Linked DNA regions of Mus musculus. The protein of the gene in region 2 purifies or fractionates together with the protein of the main gene of each other region. This does not show direct contact. Links are inferred from orthologs where the notes say so. Each region holds a gene or a part of one and is shown on either strand. Other genes may lie near its edges. The genes, in order: Cracd, Capza2, 2900026A02Rik, Svil, Twf1, Washc5 and Cnot1.

Evidence for each region.
Region 1: the proteins of Capza2 (region 2) and Cracd purify together in Homo sapiens (affinity purification with mass spectrometry; 3 studies listed by BioGRID and IntAct, counting the BioPlex papers as one, with this or other methods). This does not show direct contact. The link is inferred for Mus musculus from reciprocal best matches to the Homo sapiens genes CAPZA2 and CRACD.
Region 3: the proteins of Capza2 (region 2) and 2900026A02Rik purify together in Homo sapiens (affinity purification with mass spectrometry; 3 studies listed by BioGRID and IntAct, counting the BioPlex papers as one, with this or other methods). This does not show direct contact. The link is inferred for Mus musculus from reciprocal best matches to the Homo sapiens genes CAPZA2 and KIAA1671.
Region 4: the proteins of Capza2 (region 2) and Svil purify together in Homo sapiens (affinity purification with mass spectrometry; 3 studies listed by BioGRID and IntAct, counting the BioPlex papers as one, with this or other methods). This does not show direct contact. The link is inferred for Mus musculus from reciprocal best matches to the Homo sapiens genes CAPZA2 and SVIL.
Region 5: the proteins of Capza2 (region 2) and Twf1 purify together in Homo sapiens (affinity purification with mass spectrometry; 3 studies listed by BioGRID and IntAct, with this or other methods). This does not show direct contact. The link is inferred for Mus musculus from reciprocal best matches to the Homo sapiens genes CAPZA2 and TWF1.
Region 6: the proteins of Capza2 (region 2) and Washc5 purify together in Homo sapiens (affinity purification with mass spectrometry; 3 studies listed by BioGRID and IntAct, counting the BioPlex papers as one, with this or other methods). This does not show direct contact. The link is inferred for Mus musculus from reciprocal best matches to the Homo sapiens genes CAPZA2 and WASHC5.
Region 7: the proteins of Capza2 (region 2) and Cnot1 purify together in Homo sapiens (affinity purification with mass spectrometry; 3 studies listed by BioGRID and IntAct, counting the BioPlex papers as one, with this or other methods). This does not show direct contact. The link is inferred for Mus musculus from reciprocal best matches to the Homo sapiens genes CAPZA2 and CNOT1.

Annotation. Positions count from the first base shown.
Region 1 is NC_000071.6:76,839,296-76,843,398, reverse strand, and holds the start of Cracd (capping protein inhibiting regulator of actin dynamics), read right to left. Parts: upstream 2,801-4,103; 5' UTR 2,726-2,800; exon of another isoform or gene 2,718-2,725; coding exon of another isoform or gene 2,716-2,717; intron 2,612-2,715; coding exon of another isoform or gene 2,596-2,611; coding exon 2,476-2,595; intron 223-2,475; coding exon of another isoform or gene 201-222; intron 1-200. UniProt on the Homo sapiens protein: Involved in epithelial cell integrity by acting on the maintenance of the actin cytoskeleton. Positively regulates the actin polymerization, by inhibiting the interaction of actin-capping proteins with actin.
Region 2 is NC_000072.6:17,635,779-17,639,809, forward strand, and holds the start of Capza2 (F-actin-capping protein subunit alpha-2), read left to right. Parts: upstream 1-1,231; 5' UTR 1,232-1,343; coding exon 1,344-1,382; intron 1,383-4,031. UniProt on the Homo sapiens protein: F-actin-capping proteins bind in a Ca(2+)-independent manner to the fast growing ends of actin filaments (barbed end) thereby blocking the exchange of subunits at these ends.
Region 3 is NC_000071.6:113,218,477-113,222,758, forward strand, and holds the start of 2900026A02Rik (uncharacterized protein KIAA1671), read right to left. Parts: upstream 2,801-4,282; 5' UTR 2,735-2,800; intron 2,647-2,734; exon of another isoform or gene 1,932-2,646; intron 1,462-1,931; exon of another isoform or gene 929-1,461; intron 1-928.
Region 4 is NC_000084.6:5,116,089-5,119,588, forward strand, and holds the end of Svil (supervillin), read left to right. Parts: coding exon 1-33; intron 34-884; coding exon 885-1,009; intron 1,010-2,011; coding exon 2,012-2,167; intron 2,168-2,257; coding exon 2,258-2,344; 3' UTR 2,345-3,205; downstream 3,206-3,500.
Region 5 is NC_000081.6:94,587,025-94,591,178, forward strand, and holds the start of Twf1 (twinfilin-1), read right to left. Parts: upstream 2,801-4,154; 5' UTR 2,753-2,800; coding exon 2,728-2,752; intron 1,282-2,727; coding exon 1,204-1,281; intron 1-1,203. UniProt on the Homo sapiens protein: Actin-binding protein involved in motile and morphological processes. Inhibits actin polymerization, likely by sequestering G-actin. By capping the barbed ends of filaments, it also regulates motility.
Region 6 is NC_000081.6:59,346,688-59,350,187, forward strand, and holds part of Washc5 (WASH complex subunit 5), read right to left. Parts: coding exon 3,445-3,500; intron 2,717-3,444; coding exon 2,606-2,716; intron 1,839-2,605; coding exon 1,698-1,838; intron 214-1,697; coding exon 133-213; intron 1-132. UniProt on the Homo sapiens protein: Acts as a component of the WASH core complex that functions as a nucleation-promoting factor (NPF) at the surface of endosomes, where it recruits and activates the Arp2/3 complex to induce actin polymerization, playing a key role in the fission of tubules that serve as transport intermediates during endosome sorting.
Region 7 is NC_000074.6:95,720,446-95,723,945, forward strand, and holds part of Cnot1 (CCR4-NOT transcription complex subunit 1), read right to left. Parts: intron 3,021-3,500; coding exon 2,840-3,020; intron 1,194-2,839; coding exon 1,061-1,193; exon of another isoform or gene 994-1,060; coding exon of another isoform or gene 835-993; intron 333-834; coding exon 198-332; intron 41-197; coding exon 1-40. Other genes in the region: N-lysine methyltransferase SETD6, read left to right, coding at 835-993.

The DNA.
Region 1 (4,103 bases), on a different chromosome or scaffold from region 2:
AAACAAAAAAACCATCAAAGACATACACAATGACAATTCCAGACATAAAACACACATGCCTCTGACACAGCTAAACTCTCATTCCATGCTGGAGTCTACGAGTATGCTTATCGCAGAGCATCACCATCCGCACACCGCTGTCATGGGAAATGCGAAGCACTCATGCAAGTGTATGAGGGCACTACGTTTGGGGGACTTACCAGGAACATACTGCTTAGTCGACTGAAAAAGAAAGCATAGTCTTTGGGGAGTGATTCAGTTAAGGCTTTAGGTCACTTAAAAAAAAAATCCCATTTGCTCTGACCATGGTCCCCACTCCCCCACCTTGAAGAGCAATGCCCTTAATATTTCCAAAGTCACCACCACAGAGATCAAAGGAGGCTCCTGAGTCCTGGGACAAAAGAAAAATTAGGCAGACCTCATGTGACTGGGGCTGCACACTAGTCATTTTGATCTGTTCACCCACCCCTCCTTCTTGTGTTAATCAAATTGTCACTTCAGGAAAGTTGATGGCTTTACATTTTATCAATTAATGAGGTCAGATTACTTAAAACCATAGGGTCGCCCAGGTAGGGGTGGCGCATGCCTTTAATCCAGGCACTTGGAAGGCAGAGGCAGGGGATTTCTGAGTTCAAGACCAGCCTGGTCTACAGAGTGAGTTCCAGGACAGCCAGGGCTACACAGAAAAACCCTGTATCAAAAAACCAAACTAAACCAAACCAAACCAAAACCAAAAAAAAAAAAAAAAAAAAAAAAAAAAAAAAACCAACCAAAAAAACCCCCAAAACCAAAAAACCATAGGTCATGTTAAAAGAAGTCAGTCACTCATATATTTTATTGGGTTTCTATTTTTTTCAATACTGCGCCATTACATGCACTGTACAACACTTAAAACCCACTTTTTAAAGTGGCAGTGGTATGTGGTAAATGTTACAGAGCAGGTATCACTGAAGGCAACAGGCCAGTATCCACCCTTCAAAGAATTTCTTGACGCCCTATAAAAATACAGTATTTCATGGGCTGAATTCTGCACAACATTCTCTTTAGTAAAGGGGCGTGAGAGGCCAGGGGCTCCGAACCTAGCGGTAATCAAAAGCCTGCAAGAGGGAAATGGGGTAATGCTTCCCTGACTACTACTGTCCTCTCTCTTCAACCTGTGTGAAAAGTGACAGCTTGCTTCTTCCAGTCTCAAAGTCCAAGACCACAGCCAGCAGGAACAAAAAGAAGGAATCCGGGCTCTAAGTGTTGGCACTACAAGCCAGACTGGGCTGGCTGTGCCAGCAGAGACCTGGTCTCTGTCAGTGGTGACTGCAGGCATAAAGATCTAGGCAAGCTTGGGTGTGGCTCCAGGGTGTTGGCTCCTTCCTGGTTTTGCATACATCACCTTGCACTGAGTGTATGATGGCAGGTCATAAAATACACAGCTTGTGCCCAGCAGAAACAAGTACAGGTGGAGAGGATGGAAGTTACTGTTGCGTGGGATGCTCCTTTGTATCACTCAGTTCTCATTGTTTCTTTATTTTGCTTTTTTTTTTTCCCTTCTCAGACATTCACTATTGTAGACACAGTCAGCTGAGACAGGGTAACTCAGAGCCCCTCTGTTCAAAGTCTCCAGCAGGGTTCTCAGCCTTCCTAATGCGGTGATTCCCATAATACAGTTCCTCTCTCTGGTTATGGTGTTGCCCAGCCAAAAATAAAAAAAAAAATTATTTTTGTTGCTACTTCAAAACTGCAATTTTGCTACTGTTATGAATTGCAATGTAAATATCTGATATGCAATCCTGTGAAAAGGTCCTTCAACCCCCAAAAGGGGTTGAGAACCACTGGTTTAGGTCATCTCTAGGCACCCACACCTCAGAGAAGTTGCTTGCCCTGGCATTGATTTCTGGTGAGGGAAATGTTTTTTTAACCACGTTTGGTATAGCACTGCTTTACCACGTTTTCACTGTTAGGGAGTCACCAGCTAAGTCAATGTTAGTTGAGGACACCGCCCACATTGCAGGGAGAAAGGGGTTGTATGGTCCCTTCTAGACAAGGTGGCCGGGGGGGCTGCATTTACAGACACACCAGAGGCTCGCCTCTCCCCACCTCATGCTGGAGACTCACACGATGGAAGTGAGCAAGGATAGCAGCTGCTCAGCTAACTTAATGGTTAGGAACGCTTTCCTCACACACAAGCCTCGTAGCTTCTCTTAGGGACTTGTTCTCATGTCCAGTCAAACAGGAAGCAACAATTGGAGGAGAGGAGAGAGGACAAGCCAGGGGTGGGGTGGCAGTATAGCAGTGCTAAGCATGCCTCTTTAACGGGGAACTGAGTGAAGTCTAAGAAATCAAAGCTTTCTCTCCTGAAGTGACCCTTGACCCTCCCACTCCATCACTCAAGGACCAGCCAGGGACTCTTCCACTTCCCTCCCCAGAGGATGGGGGTGGGCTGGGCTCCTCTGGCTCTGATCCTCCAGTCTCAAGCTGCCTTACCTGAAGAGTTTTGACTTTGCCCAGGATGTTGTCCTGTGACATTGCTTGAACTGTCTGCTCACTTTCTGCTCCCCCATCAGGGATAAAAATACTGTCATGGGAGAACGCCCGTGCTCCCATAGAATAGTTGAAGGACCTGGAATGCAAATCACGTGCTTCATTTTATTAGGATGATAAATGACTTCTCCAGATTCAGTTTTCTGGGTCCCCCCTCCCTCCACCCCCGCCTCAAAGGCCCACATCTCTTAGCTTATTTAGAAAGTCCTTCTACGCCACAGCCTTCCTGCAGAGGGTTGGCAAGGAGCAGGGTAGACGAAAGGTTCCTATGGGAACGGGAGAATGTGGTCCTAACACTCTTTCTCGGAACCATTCACAGGGAGAACTTGGAGCAAGGTATTTATCTGTAGAACCAATGGTGCTGAGCTTCTAACTGGAGGACCTGCCCAGCTGAGCTGTGACTATCAGGCTTGTTCCAGAAAATCTTGCTAACTAGTACTTACGAAGTGATCTTGCCAACTAGTACTTATGAAGTGGCACAGATCTAAACAGGTGTCTTTGACTTTCAGTCAGACTGCAGTGCAGATATACAGAGCAAAGCCTTTGGAAGAAGGGACTATCAATGCTTGAAGAATACACCCGGGGCGTGGGGGGCGGGGGCGGGAAGAAACCCACAGGCAAGCCATTGGACAGGCTTTGCATAGTTCTTCAAAAACTGCTATGCTTTAGCCATGGTTTGATATCAAGGCTCCAAGTGTTGGAAGCTGGGTCCCCATTCTACTAGCATTAGGGTGTACTAAAACCTTTAAGAGGTGGGGTCATTGTGAACGGTGTCCTCGGGAGGAGTCAATGCAAGTCCCAAGAAGCCACAGTTCTCCAGGATGAGTAAGAGGAGGAAGTCTAGCCCTCCCCACACGATGGCTTCCCCTCCCCACAGGGGAGGCACACTGTAAGAAGCATCCACTTCTGGCTTCTTTCCACGCTGCTGTGATACCATCCAGTGACCCACCGTAACCAGGGGACCTTGAGCAGGGCTGGCACCATGCTATTTGGATTGTCAAGCTTCCCAAACTGAATCCAACAAACTTTATGTACCCAGCCCTCTAGGAACTCGGGTATTTTGTCACAGGCAGGAACAATGTTACACTTAGTGGAAGACAGTGTAACAGTTAGCAGAGAGCTCAGGATACACGATGCCCTAGGCTTAATCTCTAGTATAGAAAAGAAGAGAAAAACAGACACTTTGCAGCTATAGGGATGCACCTCAAAGGTGTGTGGTCATCTGTCTACCTGATGAGAGAGACACACAGTAGGGATCTCAGGAAGCCCCAGGACACAACTGGTCCTTACTCCGGCAGACAGAGCGGCTTATCCTTCCTATGGCAAGGCAGCCCATTGCAATGGTGCCAGGTGACAAAGGCTTAGAGAGCACCACCTTCTCCTCCTGCCTCCTTAGAGAGGAACCTTAAAGGGAGTTTGTCTCAGAGACCAAGGGCAGGAGAGCATTGGAGGCACTTTCCACATTGCACCGCAGGGGGACTGTTCCTCTACCCAGGTCTAGATGGAGCTGGGAAGACTGATTCAACTATGGCATTTAATTTGCCGAATTGCAGGAAGGAAGCACACTAAAG
Region 2 (4,031 bases):
TAATGATAGTGTTCTTGGACCCAGATAGCTATTTGAGCTCTTTAGGGTCCTCTTACCTGTCATTTACACACAGCTGTCAGATTGACACCGCTGAGCATGTTCGGTTCATGTCGTGACACTGTCCAAATGCCCTCAAGAGCTTCTCACTTTCTAATTATTGAAGTCTTAACTACTAACTAAACTCTTAGTCCTTGGTAAAAACAAAGTGTGGTTTTCAGACGAGTAGCACTCCTCCTTCCTGGGAGCTTGTAAGAAATATAGATTCTCTGGTTTGCTCAGGCCTGCTGAACTAGCAACTCAATTTTATCAACATTTCCAGCTGCTTCCTGTGTCAGCTTTGACTTCAACCTTCCACCCCCCCCCCTTTTCTTTAACTTGAAGCTTCAGTAGTAGAGTTGCCAGATTTAGCAAATAAAAGTAGGAGACATCCAGTAAAATTTGAAAATAATAAATAATGGTTTTAGAATGCTTTAAATCCTTCATGGGACATTTACCTTAAAAATTGGTTGTATGAAATTGAAATTTCTACTGGATGACCTGTAAGTAGTTTGGACAGCCAGTTCATGAGGGTACAGATCCAAGGCTAACTTAACTTTTTTTTCTTTTTTTTTTACTTTCCAGGAGTACAATGCCTTCCCTAACTCAATGTCTAATTAATAGAGGTGAGCTTAAGAGCATTTTCTTTGGGATTTTTGTTTGTTTGGGTTTTTAAATCTACATTTCTTATTCCTAAGAACTAGCAAAATAGTCTTCCTATCATAAAAGACCAATAAATGTTTTTCGGATGAATAAATGAATATATCAAAAGTAATCTTTCAATTATGGACTGGATTGTGTGTGCCTATTTCAATTAAAACAGTATTTTTCCTAATACTTAAAAATGTTTTAAATTGGTACAGCTTTTCACATTTTAGCTGGCAGCGTTCAGGACTTGGTGGGAACAAAGTCATGGGCTCAGAATGTACTCATCGCCAACCGGGTCCATATGGTCATCGTTGACTAGAGAAGGCACCAGACAGAGCAGGATGACAGAAGATAACCATAGCAATCCCACTTTGGAGGCGCTGCGCACGCGCACAGCGGCGCTCAGGCCGGCGCTCAGGGGGAGGGAGGCGGAGCTCCGGGGGCGCGTGCGCGGCGGCCTAGGCTGAGGAGGCGGAGCTCCCAGGCGTGTGCGCAGTGGCTCGGCTCCCGGGAGGCGGAGCTCCGGGGCGCGTGCGCGGCGGCCTGGGCGGCGGGGCCCCTCCCTTGGCGGGGGCGCGCGGCGCGGAAGACCGCTCGGAAAGGGGGAAGTCAGGTGGCCGCTGCTGCCACCAGCGCCACGGTCTGTCGCCAGAAGGAAGATGGCGGATCTGGAGGAGCAGTTGTCCGATGAGGAGAAGGTAGGTGCCGCGGCGGTGAGGAGCCGGGCGGGCGGGAGGGCGGGAGAGGTGAGTGCCGAGGCGCGAGGGCCGGAGTCTGACCCCGGGCGGGCTCCGGTGGTGGGCCGCACGCCTGCGCTTCCCGAGCGGGGTGCTGCCCGGGCTCCCCGAGGCCGGGCCCCTCCGCTCCTTGTAGGGTGTGTGCTCCGAAAATAGGAAGCGGAGCCCGGCGGCCGCGGGCGGGAGCGGGGGCGGCGGGACCCGGCCCTGGGGGTCCGGGCTCGGGAGCGGCCGACGGCGGAGCGGCGCCGCCTGGCCTGGGGCTTTCGCCGTGAGGCGGGCGGGCGGGGAAGACGGCATAGCCGACCCTCACTTTTTCCTGCAGTTTCTCCTCCCCAACGCGAAGTGCTTCCTGGTTCCCCAGGGTGTTTCCTTCCCTCCGGAGGTCGCCGTCTCCACATCCCGCCCCTTCCCCCCCACCCCCCGCCATCTATTTCTTTTATTAATATTGTCATTACCTTTTTTTTTTTTTTAATTGCTGCTCCCATGTTCCCCGGAAGGCAGTATTGTTCACAAAGACACCCCTCCCTCCCATAGTTATTTTCTGCCCAACTTGGCTGCTTCCCCCTCTTGGGGCAGATTTGGTGACATCCCATCTTCCTGATAGGACCAACTCTGAAGAGGGCGAGCGGGTGCAACTCCTTTTACTGTGTGTTAAATGCTGTGACAGCATTAGGACCAAATGCACGACTCAAGTTCTCACATTTGTGATACGAAATCTGATCATTGAACTAAGGCTCTTGCCCATTTTCTTTGGCGACTGAGGAGACCGCGTACCAAGGGGCAAGTAGTGTGAGGGGGAACGCCATACGTTTTGAGTATTTTCTGGAAAAGACCGGGACGTTTTTTTCAAACTTAGACTTAACTGACATATGAGTGTGCTGCCCTTTGGAAATGTCTGATCTTAGCTTGTTTTTAAGTTCCAAATGAAGTACACCCATGTGGGAAACAGAACTCAGTTCTAGTAGGGTGTTAGAGAAACACTAAGGATATTTTCAGTTGGGACCCTCTCCTTTTATACTGCACCAGAATTAGTGTTCTCTTTCTCTTTGGTTGTTCAGAACTCAGCCTCTTTTATGGTTTTGGAAGTGTTCTGGCTTTCTCGTTTGTGCCCTTGGATGAAATGGTGATAACTTAACAAAATGGGGACAAGCATACCTTACTTTAATTCACAGAATTAGACCCTAAGTCGCTAAAAGTTGCTGTACAGTGTTTACATTTGTAGCATTGAATAGTTTAAAGCTATTTATTGAAAATATACCAGCGCATTACAAGAAAAATAGCGTTTCAGATTCAAAGTTCTTGAAGCGATTTTTTTCATGTTTTGTGTACTTTCATATAATTATTAGGAGGAGCTCAATTGGCTTGGAAGATAGTGAGAAGAGAATTGTTAGGGTGGGAATTAATGTAGATTTGCCATGTTGTTGGAAAGGCCCGGAAATTTCAAAATAAAATGAGAAGATTCCTTGACACCCAGTGTGCTGAGTTTTACAGAGTAGTGTATGAGTTCACCTGCTGGCATAACGTTGGAAACAAATTAATGAGAATTTTAAGCTTAGATTTAGCATCTTTTTGTGACATAGGTAGGAATATTCTGTAGTAACTTCACATACAGATTTTTATAACAGTATTTTCTAATTTAAGAGATCAGTGGTTAAACTTTCTAGTGAAATTTAAATAACCAGTAAATGGAAAACAATATTTTGTCACTTTTATTTCCCAGTAGACTTGTACTGTTTTAGGAAGGTGTTCCATATAGATCAGAAATGGATTTAATTGTGATATTTTAGGACCAGTTCTTAAATCATGCTTCTCTATTTTATTTCCTTGCTTGTGATTTTTCAGGAGTAAGTTTTAAATACTTTTTACATTTCAGTTTTGCAGGTCTAAAGAAGGGGAGGTACTACAATGTATAATAGTGTAGTTTATATGTATTTATCATGTAAGAAAAATGTTCTATTTTCTTTTTTAACTTAAGTTTGAGGTAGATAGTTTTATTATCCTTTACCTGTAAGTAAATTAAGGTTTTAAAGGCCTTATATAGGAGGGAAATGGCAGAGGTGAAATTTAAACCTAAGTTTATCAGAATTCAAGGTTTGCTTGTATACTTAATGCCATTATGTTCCCTTGAAGTTGATTATAGGACTATCCTGGGGTTATATATTGGTTTTCAATTTGCTTATTTTTAAAAAGAAAGCAATGGTTCTTTATAGTATCAGGTTCTAAGTTTGTTTTTTATACTTAGTGAAAAGGCTAACTGGTAACCTTGTGTTTTCACCATTTTTAACTAGTTTATTTTTATGTAATGTGAACATTGTGTGCTACTGCTATATAGTTTCTTACTGCCCCTGTGGAATGAGGCATTTTAGAAATTAATCATAGCTGGGTGTGGCAGAGCAGATTTGTAATCTAAGTACTGAGGAAACTGGGACTGGAGGATCTCTAGTTCTGAGGCCACCTTACAGAAAGTAACAACAAAAAGAGATTAGCTGGGTGTTGGTGCATACCTGTAATCCCCAGTACCCTGGAGGCTGGTCAGGAGGAACGTGTTTCAGCTTAGCTTGGTCTTCTGAGTTCTTTTGAGACAGGGAGACCCTGTCTCAAAAACAA
Region 3 (4,282 bases), on a different chromosome or scaffold from region 2:
AAACGGGTTCAGAGTGGTTAACACACCCGATGGCAGTCACACAGCAGATAAAGCCAGGACTTAATGTTGGGCAGAGCAGATCTGAAAGCAGGCGTCAAGGTAGGCAGATGTGATTGGGGGCTCAGGAGGAGTTAGATTCTGTGCACGGGAAGCCTTGGGAGGACCAAAAGGGGATGGGAAGTGGGGCTCTCAGAACTGTCCGTCCAGCTGGTCATCTGGGGTCAGACACTTTCATTTCCTGGAGTATTTTAACAACGCGCACAGCTGACTCAGGTGTAAGCAGTCAGCGATCATACTTTGAAAACATATCCCTATCCTCGACGGAGACAGGGCTGTAAACATTTCAAAGGTCACCTAACCGCCCGATTACCAAGAAGGGCAGCGCTAACTCAGGCCCCAAAGTCAAGTCCTTAATTGCTTCCTGATAGTCGCTCCCACACAGCTGACTAGAGGATTTCTGGGGACAGGAGAGCCCCGAGTTCTCAGGCCCAGGGACGCTCCCAAGTAAGAGATTCCATGAGATATCCGTCTTGTGTTGAGCCCTCCACTCAGACAGCGATTCCCCTTCCCGGGCCAGCAGTCAGGGTGAGGGCAGTGGGCGGCCACACCTAGCCACATGGGGACACTCAGAGTTGGGAGGTGCATGGCTATGGACAGCCAGTTCTAAGGACAGAACTCAGTTCCTCCTCTCTCTCCCCCAAGCTCCCATTTCATGATCTGCTCATGGGTGGCAGTGGAGGAGTCTCCACAACCAACACTGCCTGAGAAGACTGTCAGGAAGAACAAAGAGGGGACAGACAGAAGGACTCAGCCTGGAGGGTCTGACATAACACAGTACATCAGTAGCTCTGGCCTTCCCTACACCCTCTTCCATGGGGCCTGGCTGACCTCTCCCCCTGCCTCCTCCGGGAAGCCCCCCTTGGTTTACCTTTGTTGCTTCTCAGCAATTTTGCCTCACTGTCTCCAAACATCCATCAAGTTCCCCCAAGAGGAGTGGCAGGGCTTAACCCACACTCCCGGAATCTGAAGCAGGCAGGGGCAGGAGTGTGTGCCTCCAGGCAGGGATCTGGTCCCCTCAGTCCCAAGCCTTCCGATGCAGGACAGGAGTGTAAAGGTCTTTTATTTGCTCAACACGCCCTGCACTCTGGGCAGGACCAGGAGTGAGGTCTTGCCTCTGCCCTACCTCCTACCCAGCCCTCAAGGCTCAGCCCAAGTGTCACCTTTGACCACACACACACACACACACACACTAGGTTGGGCAAGGTACCTGCTTGCTGGAACCATTCTGATGACACAGGCTATCATGACAATAACTCTTCTGGGCTCACGCCCTGAGCTCAATCAGATGCCCTCCATGACCCACCTTACGAACGCTCCTCCCCCGTGATGGAGGAGAGGACCATTTTACAGTTAAAGAACCTGAGTCTCAAAGAAGTACCACGGGATGGTGATATGACTCAGTGGATAAAGGGGCTTGCCAACAAGCCTGAGGACTTGGGTTCAATTCCTGACACCCTTCTCTGCCCCAGACCATGATCCTCCTCTTGCCCCAAGCCACGCCCCCTCCTCTGCTGTCCCATTCTCCGTCCAGATTGACCCAGGGTTCACTCCTCCGGGCTTGACTTTCAGCCTAGTGCTTGACACAGAACCATTTGTTAATGAATGAATGACTGATGAACGGACATACTCGTTTGGAGGCAGCTCATCCCGTGTGTTGGTTAGGTGATTCCTGGTGATGCTAGCAGGGGTCAGATGCCAGGGATGCACAACTGACCTCTGAACTCCCTTGCCCTCTGGTGACTCTGTGGGGGGGGGGGCGGGGCTGTATAGCTCAGAGTCTGGGGTGAGGGTGCTCCCCAACATCACAAATCAACAAAGACGTGGAGCAGGCTAGACGGCTAGAAAGTCATCCCTGAAGAACAGATTCTGACCTGCTCTGGGCTGGTCCAAGCTGACTCCGATGTACCCCTGCACACAGCTGCAGGCAAGGCTGGACCACGCGTCCAGACTCTGCACTTCTCGGGCCTAAGTGCGCCCCTGCCAAGCCCTCAAGTCTCCCCTGAACCCACCAAGGCACCGGTGTCTGCAGAGCCCAGCCCTGGCCGCACGCCTGCCCTGCGGGGTGGCAAAGAGAAAGTTGGCCGCTTGAAGCCTCCACCTAGAGTCCCGATTACTGATTAACCAGTCCCAGCGCTTCTCTGTGCGTGGCCTGGAGCCGCAACTCGCCCCAGTGGAAGAAAGTCCAAGTTACACATCTTTGTCACCGCGGACCAGGGCAGTGCGCGCGCCACCCCGGAGGGCGCGACCCCGGGGACAGGGCGCAGGCTCCAGCGCCAGCCGCAGGCCCTCGAGGGGACAGCTCTCTGCAACAGGCGCCGTCCCTCCGAAAGCAAAAGGCCACGGCTTCCCCGCCAGAGGAAGGGTCAGCCCTGGCCTGCACAGCGCGATCCCGAGACACGCGCGAGCCGCGGACGCGCGTGGAGGGAGCGGGGGGCCAGCCCTAGGCATCCTTCGCCGACATTCCCCGGCCGCAGATTCAACGGGATCCACCCCCCTCCCCCAGCAAGTCCGCAGCCGGACTCCGCACGCGGCTCCTCCCGCTCTCCGTTTCGCCCTCCCTCCGCTAACTTTGCCAACTTTACACGCGGCCCCGCGGGCAGGAGTGGGCGTCCCCGTGCGTCTCCGCGCGCCCCCGCGGCCCGCCCGCGCGCCCCCGCGCCCTCCGCGCACCTACCGCAGTGGCCCGCCGGCGCCGCACCTGCCCGCCCGCACCTGCCGCGGCGCGCGCAGCCTCGCCGCTGGGGGGCGGGGCTCGGGCGGGAAGCGCCCCGTCGCCGTGGCAACCGCACCCGGTGGCGCCTGCGCAGAGCGGCGAGGGGCGGAGCGCGGGAGCCCGGAGCCGCGAGACTATGTGGGGCGCGCCCCCTGCCGGGTGGAAGCGGCATTGCGCCACGGTGCCGGCCAAGGCACCTACTGTGTGCCCCGAGGTGGGGTGACAGAGCATTGCCCACCAAGGGCCCTGCTACTGCGCATTCCTGACCAGCTGTCTTGTTCGTTTTCATTAATCATATCGACCACTATGGTTTTGGTTTTTTTCTTTCTTTTTATATTCCTTTCTCTTAAAAACAAAACTATTTCTTTTATTGTTAGATATATGTGTATATGTGCACGTAAGTGCAGGTGCTGACAGAGGCCAGAAGAGGGCAACAAATTCCCAGAAACTGGAGTTGGAGGAAGTTGGACACCATGTTGGAAATTAACGCTAGCAGGAAGGATGGATGAGATAGGGGATTTACGGAGGAGAAACTGGGAAGGGGGATAACTTTGGAAATGTAAATAAATAAAATAACCAATAAGAAATAAAATACACCATTGCATACACCAGCAAGATTTTGCTGAAAGGACCCTGATATAGCTGTCTCTTGTGAGGCTAACACAGAAGTGGATGCTCACAATCAGCTATTGGATGAAACACAATGGAGTAGCTAGAGAAAGTACCCAAGGAGCTAAAGGGGTCTGTAACCCTATAGGAGGATCAACAATATGAACTAACCAGTACCCCCAGAGCTCGTGTCTTTAGCTGCATATGTAGCAGAAGATGGCCTAGTCAGCCATCATTGGGAAGAGAGGCCCCTTGGACTTGCAAACTTTATCTGCCTCAGTACAGGGGAACACCAGGGCCAAGAAGTGGGAGTGGGTGGGTAGGGGAGTGGGACAGGGAGGGTATGGGGGACTTTTGGGATAGCATTTGAAATGTAAAATAAGAAAATACCTAATTAAAAAAAAGAAACAAAATAAATAAATTCTAGGCTTACAAAAGTGATGCATTCCACCACTAACGAGCTCCTAATTAAAAAAAAGAAACAAAATAAATAAATTCTAGGCTTACAAAAGTGATGCATTCCACCACTAACGAGCTCCTCGTGCTCCAGTCCTCTTCCTCTCCCCAGAGGCTCCCTATGTTGTTGCTCAGGTTTGAGCTCCTGAACTCAACCCATTCTCTCCTCAAGTCCCTTCCTTTACCCCAGTAGCTGGAACATCTCTGGAACGCTACCCTGCCAGCCTATGCATCTTTGCTAAGTACCTTTTCTATGCTGGGCTCTGGGGACTCCGCTCTGAGGGAGCTGATGGATCCAGGTTCTCACGGGACTTCACCAGCATTAGGGAGAAACATCGCATGTGTAAATTGAATCATATTTATGACTCATGCTCCCCTGAGAAATGGGACATGGTTTATTCCTTTCTTTTGTTTTGTTTTGTTTGAGACAAGGTTTCTCTGTGT
Region 4 (3,500 bases), on a different chromosome or scaffold from region 2:
GTGCCATGGAGACGGTCCTGCAGTACTGCCGAGGTAAGGGCAGGAGAAAGGGGTGGGAAGTCCCCACAGGCCTAACCATGTCCTTCCTGAGATGCCTGCAACCTTGAGAAGGCTCCAGCACTCCCCCTTAAACTGCTGGAGGCTTGTCAATCTTAGGATCAATACATTCTCTGCTACTAGAACAAAGGAGAGTCCATATTTCCCTTTCAAATGACAGGGCCACCCACAGGTGTACTGTGGAACCACCTGCACTGCCACCACTCTGGCTAAGTGACCTCCATGGCACCATTCTCTCTTCAGGCAATGCCGGCATCGTGCCCAAACTGGCTAAAAGCCAACGCCAGTCTTTCTTTTGGTATCATATCCAATGATAACAACAACCGAAACAGTTTCCTACCTAGCATAGAATCTGACCTTTTACAGAACATGGATGCCCATAACTAATGCTTTGTCTACATGCTGATAGTTTACTGGCTCTCTTAATGCCCCGGTGTGTGTGTAGTTGACTCTTGCCATGGAAAGCTCTTTGTGAACAGCCTTCCAAATCCCACCAAATGCTCACGGCACCTGGAAGATGCTGCCATCGCCTGTCACCTGCTCTCGAAACTTGTCCTCCAGGCAAATGAAAGGGAAGCAGACATACCTGGTGGGAGTTTCCAGACAGCCTTCTGTCCCCCCAAAATGTTCAGAAACGTTTTGCCAGGTTCAGGAGGTGGGGGGTAGTAACCTTTCAGATAAACAGCACCTGTGTGTTGCTTTAAGTATTTTGTGATCCGAGTTCTAAACATGGAAGTCAAGAGTTCTGAAGGAAAATGGGAAGAGCCTGAGAAAAAGCAGGACAGACTCTTTGGGTCCACTGACATGTGCATTCTGTGTTCCCACAGGAAAGAATCTCAAAAGGCCACCCCCCAAGTCTTACCTTATTCATGCTGGGCTAGAGCCCCTGACATTCACCAACATGTTTCCCAGCTGGGAACACAGAGAAGACATTGCTGAAATCACAGAAATGGTGAGCTTGGGGCTCCAAGGACTACAGGCATTGCAGCTGCCTTATTCAGTCTAAGCCCAAGACAGAGGTTGCCCTGGTATCTCTGCATTTATTGTTGCTCATCGGCATGGCAGGAGATGGGGGAACAGTGCATGATGGTGAGCAAGCTCATCATTAAGGCTCACTGGCAAGGCACAGCACATCTGGTTTCTCAGTTAATTACCAGGACAGTACATCAGTGTTCATCTTACTATTGTCTCCATTGTACCAGTGTAGGAGCTGAGGCATACAACACTTGCCTCGAATCTCTGAGCCACCAAGTGAGGTACGATTCACAGGAACAGACCCGAATGGGCTCGGCACCACACCTGCTTCTCCCTGACATTCATCCCCATAGCTTGAACTTGAGCTCATTCACACGCCATCCAACTGCCCAAAGGGAAGCAGCACTTCCCAGACCCAAGTATAAGGGATAAAGATGGTTTTCCCAGAGCATCTCTCCCCCTACTGTGTGCGTGTCTGTCTGTCTGTCTGTCTGTGATTGTGTGTGTGTGCATAATCCAGGGCCTTATGCATTCTAGGCACAGACTCCCCTACGCAGCTTCACCCTCACCCTTACCTTGTTTGTGGATTAAGAAATGGGTCCTAGGGGAAGGGGAGAGGGCATGATTTCTTCTGAACGTAATTACTTTAAAATATGTTCAAACAAATTCCACTATGTGTAAGCATCTAGTGATTTGATTTCAGGTCCAATAATCTTTTTCTGTTGTCCATTCATGGGTAATCTGAGTCCCTAAACATTCATTCATTTACTTCTGGAAGTAGTTCAGAAACAGGCTTAATTTAGTACAGGAGAAAAGCTATGAAGGGTAGGAGGTGATTCCAGGACATCCAGAGCCCCCACTCCACAATGGAGTGACGCCTTACTCAGCCCTCCCCAGGCCGTAGGCAGGGCAGAGCTGGGAGTCTGTGTGCTCCAGCGATAGCACTTGTCTGCTCAAATGTACTCTGCTCCGTCTCCAGGATACTGAAGTTTCCAACCAGATCACCTTGGTGGAAGATGTATTAGCCAAGCTCTGTAAAACCATCTATCCACTGGCAGATCTGCTTGCCAGGCCACTCCCAGAGGGGGTCGACCCTCTAAAGCTTGAGATTTATCTCACAGATGAAGACTTTGAGGTGAGTGACCCTTGTGTGGGATGCTGACAACACACTGGGAGAGCATCTTTTTACTCAGTCACTCACTGGGAGTTTCTCCATCTCTTCTAGTTTGCACTCGACATGTCCAGAGATGAATTCAATGCACTGCCCACCTGGAAGCAAGTGAACCTGAAGAAGTCAAAGGGCCTATTCTGAGGGTGAGATGACAGGGCCACAGAGAAGTCGCTGCCGCTAGACCCGAAAATGAATGGAGATACATATTTGGACTAGTAGTTTTTTCTGTCAAAGAAGAAAGTATTTTTGAATCAGAGTTTTTCAAAACCTACAGCTTGTTCTAGAGTTGAGCATTCTGTAAATGTATAAGAGAACTCTTCTGATTGTTCTTTTCCACAGTTCAGGTGAACTGAAAAGAAAAGTGTCTTTTCCGTTCCCCTCAGCCAAGTGCTGCCTCAGTGGCCGCTGCAGCCCTACCCTTCTGGTCTGGCTCAGCACTGCCTTTTTTAAAGCAATTCTCTTTATAAAGTGTTATTTTGATAGTTTGTGAATTCTAAATATATATATATATATTTATATAAACACATATAAATCAAGTATGTATTTAACAAAGCAATATGTATTCATTCACTTGCAACTGTTTTCTTTGGTGTCAAAACAATATTAGAGGACTGTGTTGCTTCTGTTGAGTTAAGCCTACCACCAGTCTGTCCCGTGCTCAGGAGTGCCTCCTTCAGCCTTAGGTCTGGCTTGTGCTAAGTTCTGCTTCCGGTGCTAAAGCAAACAAAGACTTTGTATTCTTAGTGTGAACTCTGAAGAATCTATTTGAATCAACCTTTCTACCTTAATATCTCCCCCCAGAAATGTATAGTGCCTTGTTTATGTACAGTTTATATACAGAAAAGTTTGCTCTGCTTTTTTGATGCTGGTTTGGAATATTATCTACAGCTTTATTCTCAGTAGAAATAAAAACATCTCAATTTCTCATACCCATTGTAAACATTACACATGTCATTTTGTGGCACAGGATCCCAAAATAAAATATCAAAGTAATCCCAATTCATTGATCAGTTCACATTGAATTCCAAGCCTGTTCATGGGGTGGGGCACTATTCCTGTAAGGGGGGGGGGGGGGGACGGACACTATGTAGCTGTCCAACAAACACTAGTGTGCTGCATTGGTGCCAACTCCTGAGACTCTGAACTTCAACGCAGGGCAGGACATAAGATTAAATAGACCTGGCAGACACTTGACCCATAAATTTGCTCTAAACACTGAACATGTTCTTAACACCACAGCTGCATCGATACTCACTTTAAGATCTCAGTGCCTTTTCTCCAAGTGTGAATTGATGTG
Region 5 (4,154 bases), on a different chromosome or scaffold from region 2:
AACACGCCGTGGTACAGTCACATAAAAATACTGTTTGTGTTTTAAAGTCATCATATGCTAGCAACACAAATCCACCAGAAATCCCAGAAATAAAGATCAAGAATATAACAATATGCACTTTATATGAACTTAAAAACAGCATTATGTGCTAAAGATGATGGATTTTATATATGTGTGTGTGTGTGTCTCTATCTATCTTTCCAACTGTAGATGCTCCACGAAAAGAAAAGTACAGCTGTCAAAGCTGTCCTTCATTAGAGAGACAGTAACAGTTAACAAGGTCTGGAACAAACTATAAAGTACTAGGTCATTAAGTTAAGAGGTGGGTATTTATGTTTCCATTCTCTGAAACTTACTAGTTTAACAATTTTCTCAAGATTAAAAAAACAATTGGAAAATATTTAAGAAATAGAAATTTTCTTCCTAAAGTATGAATTAGATACATTTTATCTTTCCATTTTGCTTACTGACCGTCACAATTTTAGCTGCTTTGAAGTATATACATTTGTTCCTACAGACTTTAAGATTTCCTAAACTAGTTTCACAGTTAAATATATAAGCAGAAAATGGAAAACAAACTTAGTTTATTTCCAGTTTATGAAAAAAAACAAGTTATTTTTCCAAAACAAAATGTCTTAGGGTATTTGAGGCCAACAGAATATTTTCAGCACATTCATTTCAACATCGAGTTATTAACAGTTTCTTCAAATCCATCTCCTATCAGATATAGCCACTCAGCCAGTTTCCCTGTTCATAAAATTAACATTAAGGAGTCAATTTATAATTTGCCATTTTCTCAGAACGTTTGCAAACAAGAAAGGATCTCTGTATGATCCAATCAAGCAATAAACAAACAAGTATCTCAAATGTTTCTACTTCAAAACACAGCTCATTGAACAACTCACAAAATAATTAGTTTTGTTTTCAATAAATGCCCAGCTACTGATTTTCATTCTAGAAGCACTGACATTAGACATAGATTGTGCTGCAGAAAAACACACAACAGGTGAAGCCTCCACACCAGAAAGCACCTGCTGTCTCCGCAATGGCCGCCCCCAGTTTAAAAGGAAAACAGGCTGAAAGGCAAGCTCTGAACTTGCTTCATGCTGATTAATAGTTCAAATTACTCATAAGGCTTGGAAACCTGAAACTGTAACAGCTAACCCTCCAGGGGCACAGAGTATCTTAAAACTGTTAACTAACCATTTTCGATAGATATTTTCAGAAGTCTGTATTTCCCGTTTCTGGCTCGGGCAAAGATCTCTTTGACATCTTCGCTTGCTGTGGAAAATGATAAAGGGAAAAAGTGTTTAAACCTAGAAGTAGTTTAGTTTGTATTCACCTAAAGAAAACATAAATTAAAGAAACATGTGGAGCATACAGGCCCTTCTTATTGTTACTATAAAACAGAAGCATAAAATACCGGCCTTGGCGAGGAGCAAAAACTAAATACTAGCATTTAGAAGTACAGGAACTTCAACATTTTAGCCACAGAACTCAGTAGCAGAAGTAACACTAGGGTGAATGCTTTCAGTCAAACCCAGTAACAGACAAATTGCTCCATGTTTGAAAATGTTAACAAGTTGCTTCTAATAGTCCAATTTTAAGTTTGTGATGTGTGCTCCTTCATCAAATCATGTCCTGTATCTGTCCATCAAGAACAACAGGATCAAATCTCATATACTGATTAAAGAAAAAACCTGTAAAATACACTAGATCTTACATTTTTCTTGCATCTCTTTGTAAAAAGTTATAGAAGCCACCCAGGAAATAAACATTTAATAACCTATCCCTTGTGTAGTCATCATTGCTTCAAATTCGGTCTTGTGTTGTTGATTGCCAAGCAAGACTAATATTTATGTCTTGTTATATAAAAGGCTCAAACATTAAACAATAATTTTGATATATTTAAATGTCATAAGTAACACGGGGGAGATTAAGTGTTGTTAGATCGGAGACTATTTTTGCCTGCATGTGCACAGAATTAAGTGGTAGTGTCAAAAACCCTTAAAACACAAAACAAGTTATTAAGTGGTCACCCGGGGGAAAGGCTCGGTTAACTATTACGGGAAGTGCTCTAGTTTATATTAGAACTCGTTAAATAACCCCGGGATATATTATTTGATTCCGTAGGAGGTTGAGTACGTCCAAGTTGCCTATTTTCCAACCAGGAAATAATAAACGGCGAGTAAGATACACAAGTAAACTGCACATTCGACTGTCTCCACGGGGTTCATGAGGTGCAGCTACACAGATCAGACTTTGCAGCTGCCTGGGGTGCAAGCATCCAAAGATGGAAAAACACTCCCTACTCGGGATTTCTCCGGAAGGAAGGCACACCCGCGTTCTGAGAGAAAAATCCGGGGAGTTCGGGAGGCAGCCTACAGCGGTGGGAGCTGTTTGGTTTTCAAACGATCTGAGTGCTGGAGCAATCTCCTTTGGCGGGTCCCGAGGAAAAAGTCGCTCGGCTGGCCGGCGGCAGGAGCCCAGCCAGCTTCGGTCTTCCTGCTCTCGGCACGGGGGCCGGGATGCAGCGGGGTCGCCCGGGACATCCTCACATCCTCGGTTCTCTGGCAGCCACCACCGGCCTGTTACGTGGCGGCCGCCGGGGAGGGCCGCGAGGGACACAGTCGGGGCCGTCGCACCCAGAGCAGCTCCAATGCCGTGCGCGCCTCCAGCGTTCCGGCCCGCAGCCTCCCGGGAGCCCCTGCCCCGTGGCGCCGTTACCTTGGATGCCTGTCTGGTGGGACATGGCGGCGGCCCCAGGCTCCCGGCTCCGGCGCAGGGTGCGGTAGCGGCCCCGGCCGGCGGATCCAGGAAGTAGCGGCTCCGCCTGTGCGTCATCGGCCCGCGACTCTCAGCCCCGCCCCCAGCACCAGCCCCGCTCTCCAGCGCGACATAGACCCCGCCTAGGATCCCGCCCCCTGTTCTTTCACTGGCTACTTTCATTGTCGTCACAAGCCCCGCCCCTTAAGCCATTGGCCATGCCCTTTCCCGGCAATCACCCCCCCTTGCCCCCCCCCCCCCCCCCCCCGCTGCTGTTTCTGTCCAGGATGCACCTTCTGGCAGTGGGCTGTGTGTCTATCACACGCCGCAGCGACACACCTCATCAAAATGCTTTAGAGGGAAAAATGGCCATTTTCCGAAACAAACGCTTTCTACATGAAAGACATATCCTTTGCTGTAAAGAAAAGACCATTTTAAGGCGAAAGATAAAACAGTTAAACATTTGCAAAGCAAGATGGGGCTCAAGACCACTCCTGGCCCACTTTAAAATAAGAGACTGTAGAGTTCTCCATTATTTTCCCCGTGATTTGAATCTCAAGCTGTTCACTTTTCAATTGGTCACTATCACACAAAACCACTGTTCTCACCTCAAAAAAGAGAAAAAAAAGTCTATTCTGAAATCAAATATGTGCCCTATCAGGCGGGGAGGAGGCACTAATTCAGGTGACACCCCATCCCAAATATCATGTTTCAACTTGGTAACAGACTTATGAATTTTTTTTTTAGTACCAGAACAAAAGAAAATCACAAATCATCTTTAAAATATATTTGGTGGGGACATGGGGCTATACCCAAAGTGGCGAAATTTCTGCTACTGGTTCAGATATTATCTGAAGAGGGCATCTTTAACCTTTCAATGGGAGAAGCTAAGTGGTCTGTACATTTCCAAGGATGGACTCAGAAGTGGCTAGTAACTGGGATGGCCCAAGATAATTCAGCTTAGGACCTACACCACAGTCCTACACAATCAGGCACTTCTAATCAGCTAGGCAACCTTTTTGAGTCTTGAACAGGTTTGGGGTGGCTTTTTTTTTTTTCTGGAAATTTCAGCTCATAGCACTTTAAGAGACCTCATTGTCCTTTCTCTGGTTCCCCCAAAGAACTGAGTGTGAAACCACTGAGCCATTGAGCTGACCTGAATATCTCTCTGTGGTCAGCTCTACCCTTGGAAACCATTAACAGAGCTTTGCTTTAGGTTAGCCTTTGATTGCTTCAAGTCAAATGTGTGTTCGTAGTTACCTGGATGCAATACATTTGTATGGAAACAGCAGACAGGAGTTACCGTTCTTTCTCACTGTACACTTTTATCGGCATGCATTCCCCTGTGAAAGTTTATTCTATTGTTTATTTTTATGTATGTTTTCTAA
Region 6 (3,500 bases), on a different chromosome or scaffold from region 2:
TCCATCAACAAATGGGTAAAAATAAAAGTTTTGAGCAGCAAGAGATGGCCGCATTCCTACCCGTTCCACATGTAATTACCAGAAAATCAAACAAATTGCCACAGGCCACACACAGCAGCGCTCAACCCTTACCTTGATGATGCCCACCAGGGTCGTTTTCATCATCAAGATGCCCTCAGTAAAGATGGAGATGGCGTGAGTGAGCTTGGCAACCTTTAACAGCGAGAGAGGGAGGGGAGATGAAATACATCACGGGGGAGAGTCCTCACCCCTATGCATGGCCAAACGACTGGTCAAAGTAATGCACTGGGCAAAGGCAGCAGTGTGTGGTTGTGTAAAGGACACTGGTGTGTCCATGCCTGGGATGGACGTGAGGCTATATGGGGGACAGTCACTGTGAGCAGTTCTTCGTCCTTTTTTTTTTTTTTCTTTTTCTCGAGACAGGGTTTCTCTTTATAGCCCTGGCTGTCCTGGAACTCACTCTGTAGACCAGGCTGGCCTCAAACTCAGAAATCCACCTGCCTCTGCCTCCCAAGTGCTGGGATTAAAGGTGTGTGCCACCACGCCCGGCTAGTTCTTTGTCCTTTAACATAGCACTTCTCTCTAAACTTCAGAGCTGGCCTCAGGATAAGCTGCCACTGCCCAGCTTCCTGAGTGTAATCAGAGCATTTTCCACTTAACAATAGGTGCAACTTACGATAGGTAGGCTCACTGAGGTGTAACTTACGATAGGTAGGCTCACTGAGGTGTAACTTACGATTGATAGGCTCACTGAGGTGTAACTTACGATAGGTAGGCTCACTGAGGTGTAACTTACGATAGGTAGGCTCACTGAGGTGTAACTTACGATTGATAGGCTCACTGAGGTGCACCTTACGATAGGTAGGCTCACTGAGGTGTAACTTACGATAGGTAGGCTCACTGAGGTGTAACTTACGATAGGTAGGCTCACTGAAGTGTAACTTACGATAGGTAGGCTCACTGAGGTGTAACTTACGATAGATAGGCTCACTGAGGTGTAACTTACGATAGGTAGGCTCACTGAGGTGCAACTTACGATAGATAGGCTCACTGAGGTGTAACTTACGATTGATAGGCTCACTGAGGTGCACCTTACGATAGGTAGGCTCACTGAGGTGTAACTTACGATAGGTAGGCTCACTGAGGTGTAACTTACGATAGGTAGGTTCACTGAGGTGTAACTTACGATAGGTAGGCTCACTGAGGTGTAACTTACGATAGATAGGCTCACTGAGGTGTAACTTACAATAGGTAGGCTCACTGAGGTGTAACTTACGATAGGTAGGCTCACTGAGGTGTAACTTACGATAGGTAGGCTCACTGAGGTGTAACTTATGATAGGTAGGCTCACTGAGCTGTAACTGTAGCTTGAGTACCGCACGTACAAAGGAGGATGTGGAAAGTCAGGTCGTGGGACACAGGAGGAACAAGGACAATGACAGAATGTTCAAGAGAAAAGAGCTCCATCTCTACAGAGAACTCAGGTGGGGAAGCTCTCAGGGACACTCGGGAAACATCAAGAGCACTAAAGACTGCAAACCACGTTATCGCTGAGAGGGCAAGAACACAACCACAGGTGGTCTGCTGGGATCCCGGGATATGCCAGGAGCCACTGGCCGGGGATGCTTCGTATTGGAGCTTCAAATATCCAAAGACAGAAGTCAAGGGTATGGCACCTCATATCTCGGGCCAAGCTGAGCGTAGTCCCGCAGCTTGTCCTTGTCCAGGCGTGTAGGCACTTCCATGATGTCATGGGTCTGAAGCTTTATGATCTTCAGGAGAGATGTGAACATGCTTTCTGGAATGATCTGCAAAACCTTTGATGAAAAGACCAGGAAGAAATACAGTTGAGAATCTATATGGTTTTTTTTTTTTTTTTAGCTGATGAACAAGGAAGATGAGAGCAAGAAGGTCCCAGTGTATAGGATGGCAGTTTGTGTAAGGAGAAGTGCTGAGAAACTTAAAAGAACTAGTTTGAAAACTGTTAGAAGGGTGTAAGACATGTGTACACACCTTTAATCTCAGCGCCAGGGAGGCAGAGGCAGGAAAATCTCTTGTGAGTTCAAGGCCATCCTGGTCCACACAGCAAGTTCCAGGACAGCCAGAGCTACATAGTAAGCTGTCTCAAAACAACTGCTAGAGAGACAAGCTCATGCCGTCCTACCACTGCCCAAGATGTCAGTAACGTATAGGAAGGGTCTCAGCCAGTGCATGACACAGACTGACTCTAACTCAGACATGGCTGGGTCCTGGATCCATCACAAATGATTGGAGCAAGGACCAAGATTCTCCTGAAGACCTGAACTAGGTTCTAGTAAGAGAATGTGAGCTGTGATCTGCCTCTGAGCAGCCAGCTCTGCCCCTGAAGAGGCTACGTCACCTCTGCTCCTCAGCTTCTGCAACTCTGAGGCCAGAGCATGTGGAAACCAGTGTGATCTCCTTACAAAGTAAAGCACATTTGCACGTCTGCAGCTTCAGTAAGATACACTTATATCTGGACATTTCTGGGAAGAAACCCGAAGAACACAAAGCTCCGCCAGGGCACTGTTTATTTAAGGAAGCAGCTATCAGAGGCAGTCCTTACCTTTCTCACGTATGACACCAATTCTCCTGAATAATACTGAGACACACTGAGGAGATCAGGGCTATTTGCTTGATTAATACGTAGCAGGGGAAGGTCAAGGGCAGAGGCAAGCTGGAAGGAAACAACACATATCTGTTTCTTGCTTCATAAATGCCCTAGAAACCTCTTTTCCCAAACTGGAATTTACAAGGCAACATTTGTGCTTCGCCCAATAGAGGGACCAATTAGAAAGCCTCAACAATGCGTCAAATAGGTTCTGACAATACATTAGAAAAACAAAACAAAACAAACAATCCACAGTCATCTACTGTGGCAGTGTGTCTCCCACTGGCCGCTGGCAGCAGCTGGGAACATGTGAGACATGTCAGTTTCCAGACCTACCCCTGACTGACTCAGCAATGTGGGAGCGGGGTGGAGGAGCTGCTGCGCTAAGGAACTCTGATGCCCCAAAGCTGGAGAGCTGCTATTCCATGGAAGCCCTTTGCACGCCAGACTCCTTTTCACCAAAGAAGCTGTTCTGTGGCTCCAGTACATAGGTCTGTAACCCAGGCATAAGATCAACCATGTACTTAAAACAAACCATAGATTTACTTTAAAACATTCATAATTCTTTCACCATTTATTAAAGATGAAAGCGAATTAGTGCATACTAATGAGATGGAGATTCATTTTTACACAGAGAACTAAACCCTGGCAGAACACTTGATGCTGCCTCTGATGAAACGGTTGGTAAATGTTAGTGCAAAGTGGATAGACAGCCTCGTACCCCGACCAATGAGAGCAGAGCAAAGCCGATCCTTTCTTCTGCCAGAGGATGGATGTCGGCGTTCCCTGCTTACCTTTAGGAACGTGGCTCTGAGTTTGGTAACCATGGATGGGTTTACCCTTATGCTTT
Region 7 (3,500 bases), on a different chromosome or scaffold from region 2:
CTTCTGTCCCATGCAGCACTGTGCAACAGACTGAAATAACCTAAGAAGTGGAGACAAGCACCAATTAACTTCACAACAAACTTTAAGCCTAAAGATCTCTTAATCTGAATTAGCTATAACTGCCCTTTTAACTCACAGACCCAAATTAGACACATTCTTTTCTGTCTCCCTGCTTGGTAATTAACATTTTAACTCACTTTTCAATCTCTGGGGCACAGTGTACAAATTCATGGTTCCAGAACTTAAATGCTGGGTTTTTAATCAGCTCAATGAAGGTGATAAGAAGACCCCAAGGATGTGGCCTATTTACAATCAACCGTTCCAAGAGAACCCTAAAAAGGGGTATAGAAGAGTTAGTTAATACATTAAAAACAAATTCACAACTATGCCTTCATTGCCCCTTTCCCTGAATGCACTCAGAATTTAGCATATGAAAATAGGTGAAATTTTTCCTACATGACAAGTGCTGGCTAGTACCAAATCTTTGTTCTTAAACTTTTTTGTTTCCTGGTGGCAAAGATTAAGGCCTTTGCTGCTGAAACTGGCACAAGTATTTAGTTGGGCGAAGAGGTAAAGTACAAGTCTGTATGTACACCCCACTATATTGTGCACTAATATCCAATCCTATACAGTTTAAACAAACAGTATGACCCTACTGTTTCCCTTTAAAACCTTAAAAACATGAAGTACACAAAAATGTCAACAAGATTCTGGATAAAAAACATTACTGCCACAGCTACCACCAAGAAACTAATGTTGCTTTTATTGTAAACTAGTACCCAGCATTTCAAAGCAAACCACTGTCCATTATCAACTTGTTTTGTAATTCCTTAGACATGGCTCAGCATAATAACACAGCGAAACTGGGAATGCACAGAACTCATTCAGAATACAGCGGAAGCAGTCAGTGGTGGTGCACACCATCCATCCCAGCACTCAGGAGGCAGAAACAGTTGGATCCCCAAGTTTGAACCAGCCTGGTCTACGGAGTGAATTTCAGGACAGTCAGAATACAGGAGAAAAGAGCCCCTTTAAGGCATCATGACAGTACATCTCTCACCTTGTGATCTGTTCCTGGATTGCCTCAGTGTTCGCCTCAGCAAAAAGGTACAACATTGTGCAGCTGAAGTAGTGAGTGTGGCTGTTTGGGTACCGTAGCTGGTTCGCAATTGCATTTAAGAAGAGATATCGGCCTAGAAATTAGGGAAACTAGATTTAGGATTTGCTCTGAAAGGCCAGTATGAGAGACAAATGAGTTTCCTTAGGCTTTGGTTTCTTAGGGGGACTGATACCATCAGTCAGACATAATCTAGCATGGTGGGCCTTGGGCAAACTGAGTATTATTCTAATTTTGCGATTTACTATTGGTTTTCTGGATATGAACTTTTTTTTTGCTTCTGTAGGCGTTATTTGCAATCCATATTATGAATCAGCAAAATACCTTACATTCTTTAAAAAAATTTTTACTGAAAATCTTGATCCTACACAACAATGGAAAGCTAATCTGCATTGTCTCAACATCCAACTACTTAAAACATTTTATTTCATGTAGTACTTGAAAAATTGTACACATGAAATAAACATAATGAAGGCAATGTCTTCCTCTGACAAAAACAGTCCTAACCTCAAAGCCCTTATAAGACTCTTGCCCCTAATGATCCTTATACTCTGAAAAGTACTTTGGTAGAATAATTGGAGAGAAAGTTTCAAATCCAGAATCTCCCACCATGCTCAGGTGGCAATAGATCTCTTATCTGTATTTGATTATCTTGTTTGTACCATTGATCACAAAGACTCTTAAACACTTGTCTAAAGGACGTAACATGAGGCCTCAATTCTACACAAAAAACTACAGGCAACCAAGAAATGCTCAGAGTAGAAAAAAACAGTCTTGTCTTCTCAAAGATGAGAACAGCAACTGGCTATCCAATACCAAATGGCCAGCCCTGAAACATATGCACAGGTAACAATTATACAGCCTGAGCAGCTTATACTGTAAAATATATTAGTAGTCTCAAGTGATCTAGCAGTTCCTCCTGACATGCCCCACTCCTAACATCATGGTGGCATACTAGCAACAGACTGGATTCAGCTACATCTGGTAGTCCTAGATCAGTGCCAAAGCAGCGAGGGATGCCCTGAAGACCAAGTTCAAAGCAAACGCTAAGACTTCTGGCAGGAGCATAAAAACTGTGAACATAAGTAGTGGATCTGGACTGAAGCATGAGCTGCTCAATCTTCAAAACCACCCCCACCTCCTGCAGACAAAACTACACATGTGGCTGATAAAACAGAAAAGGTTAGCCCCCCACCCCCAAAATGTGTGTATATACATGCACATATATGCATGGAGTAACAATAAAAATGAGGTCATGAATTTCTAAGAGAAAAACAAGCAAACAAAACAACGAGCAGAGCTTCTTTAGCACTAAGCTGGGGATTCTGAATCTTGACCACTGAAACAAACAGCGCAGGAGACACCACAGCGACGTGCCCTGTACATTTCCTACAGAGGAACAGCAAGCTCTGGCCCATTATCTTCTTACACTCACTAATGTGTTCTGTTCCCTGTCAAGCAGACCCTAGTAATTGTTGGTAAAGACAAACTTATGTATGAAGCAATGTAGTCCGACCTTCAGATGTAGGCTATCAAAAAGAACATACTTATTTCCCACTTATTGCACTCTGGCATACCATCTTTACTCACAGGATAAGATTTGGGGCCATTTTCTTAAGCATTCCTTATTGTAGCTTAAAGGAAATTTCTAGATTCTTTCGATTATATCTGTGGCAAAGTACAGAGTCTCTGATGATGCCAATGGCCAGCTGCTGCACTCACCCTCAGTGTCTAGGTCCACAGCCAGGTTCTGGAAGATGTCCATGTGTGCTGAGTGGGTGATGGTGCTCATTGAGGGCGTGCTGCCCTTGTTGTGGATGTGTGCGATAGCCTGAGTCCCTACGTAGAGCACCAATGCATTGATAAGCTGGAGGTTGTAGCGATTCCCGGGCTCATTAGATACCTAAATGGGCAAAGAGAAAACGTTACCATAGAACTATGAATAACACTTAATATTTCATTATTTTTTCCAGAGACGGGATCTCACAGTGCAGCTCTGGCTAGATTCAAACGCAGAGATGGCTAGGCCTGTGCTCCCCATGCTGGGGTTGAAGAAAGGTGAGCACCACTGTGCTGGGCAGCACTGCTGTTTCTCAAGCCTCCTTTCTCTGAAAGGGATAGGTAGCTGTTGATATTTACATATAAGAAACTTGTTCAAGATTGTGAGCTGTACAAATGTGCAGCTGCCCTCAGAGTGATTCTACTAGAAGACGTGTTCCTTTGGAAAACCAAATACTTTTGCTCATGATACAGCTATAAAATAAATTTCAAGCACAACCTCAACCATATATAATTTAGAGAAAGAAGTTGTTGCATTCTATGCTAACTCTGCAGAGCCAATTCCACTTCAAGTCACTCCATAAAGGAAATTTAACTATAATCA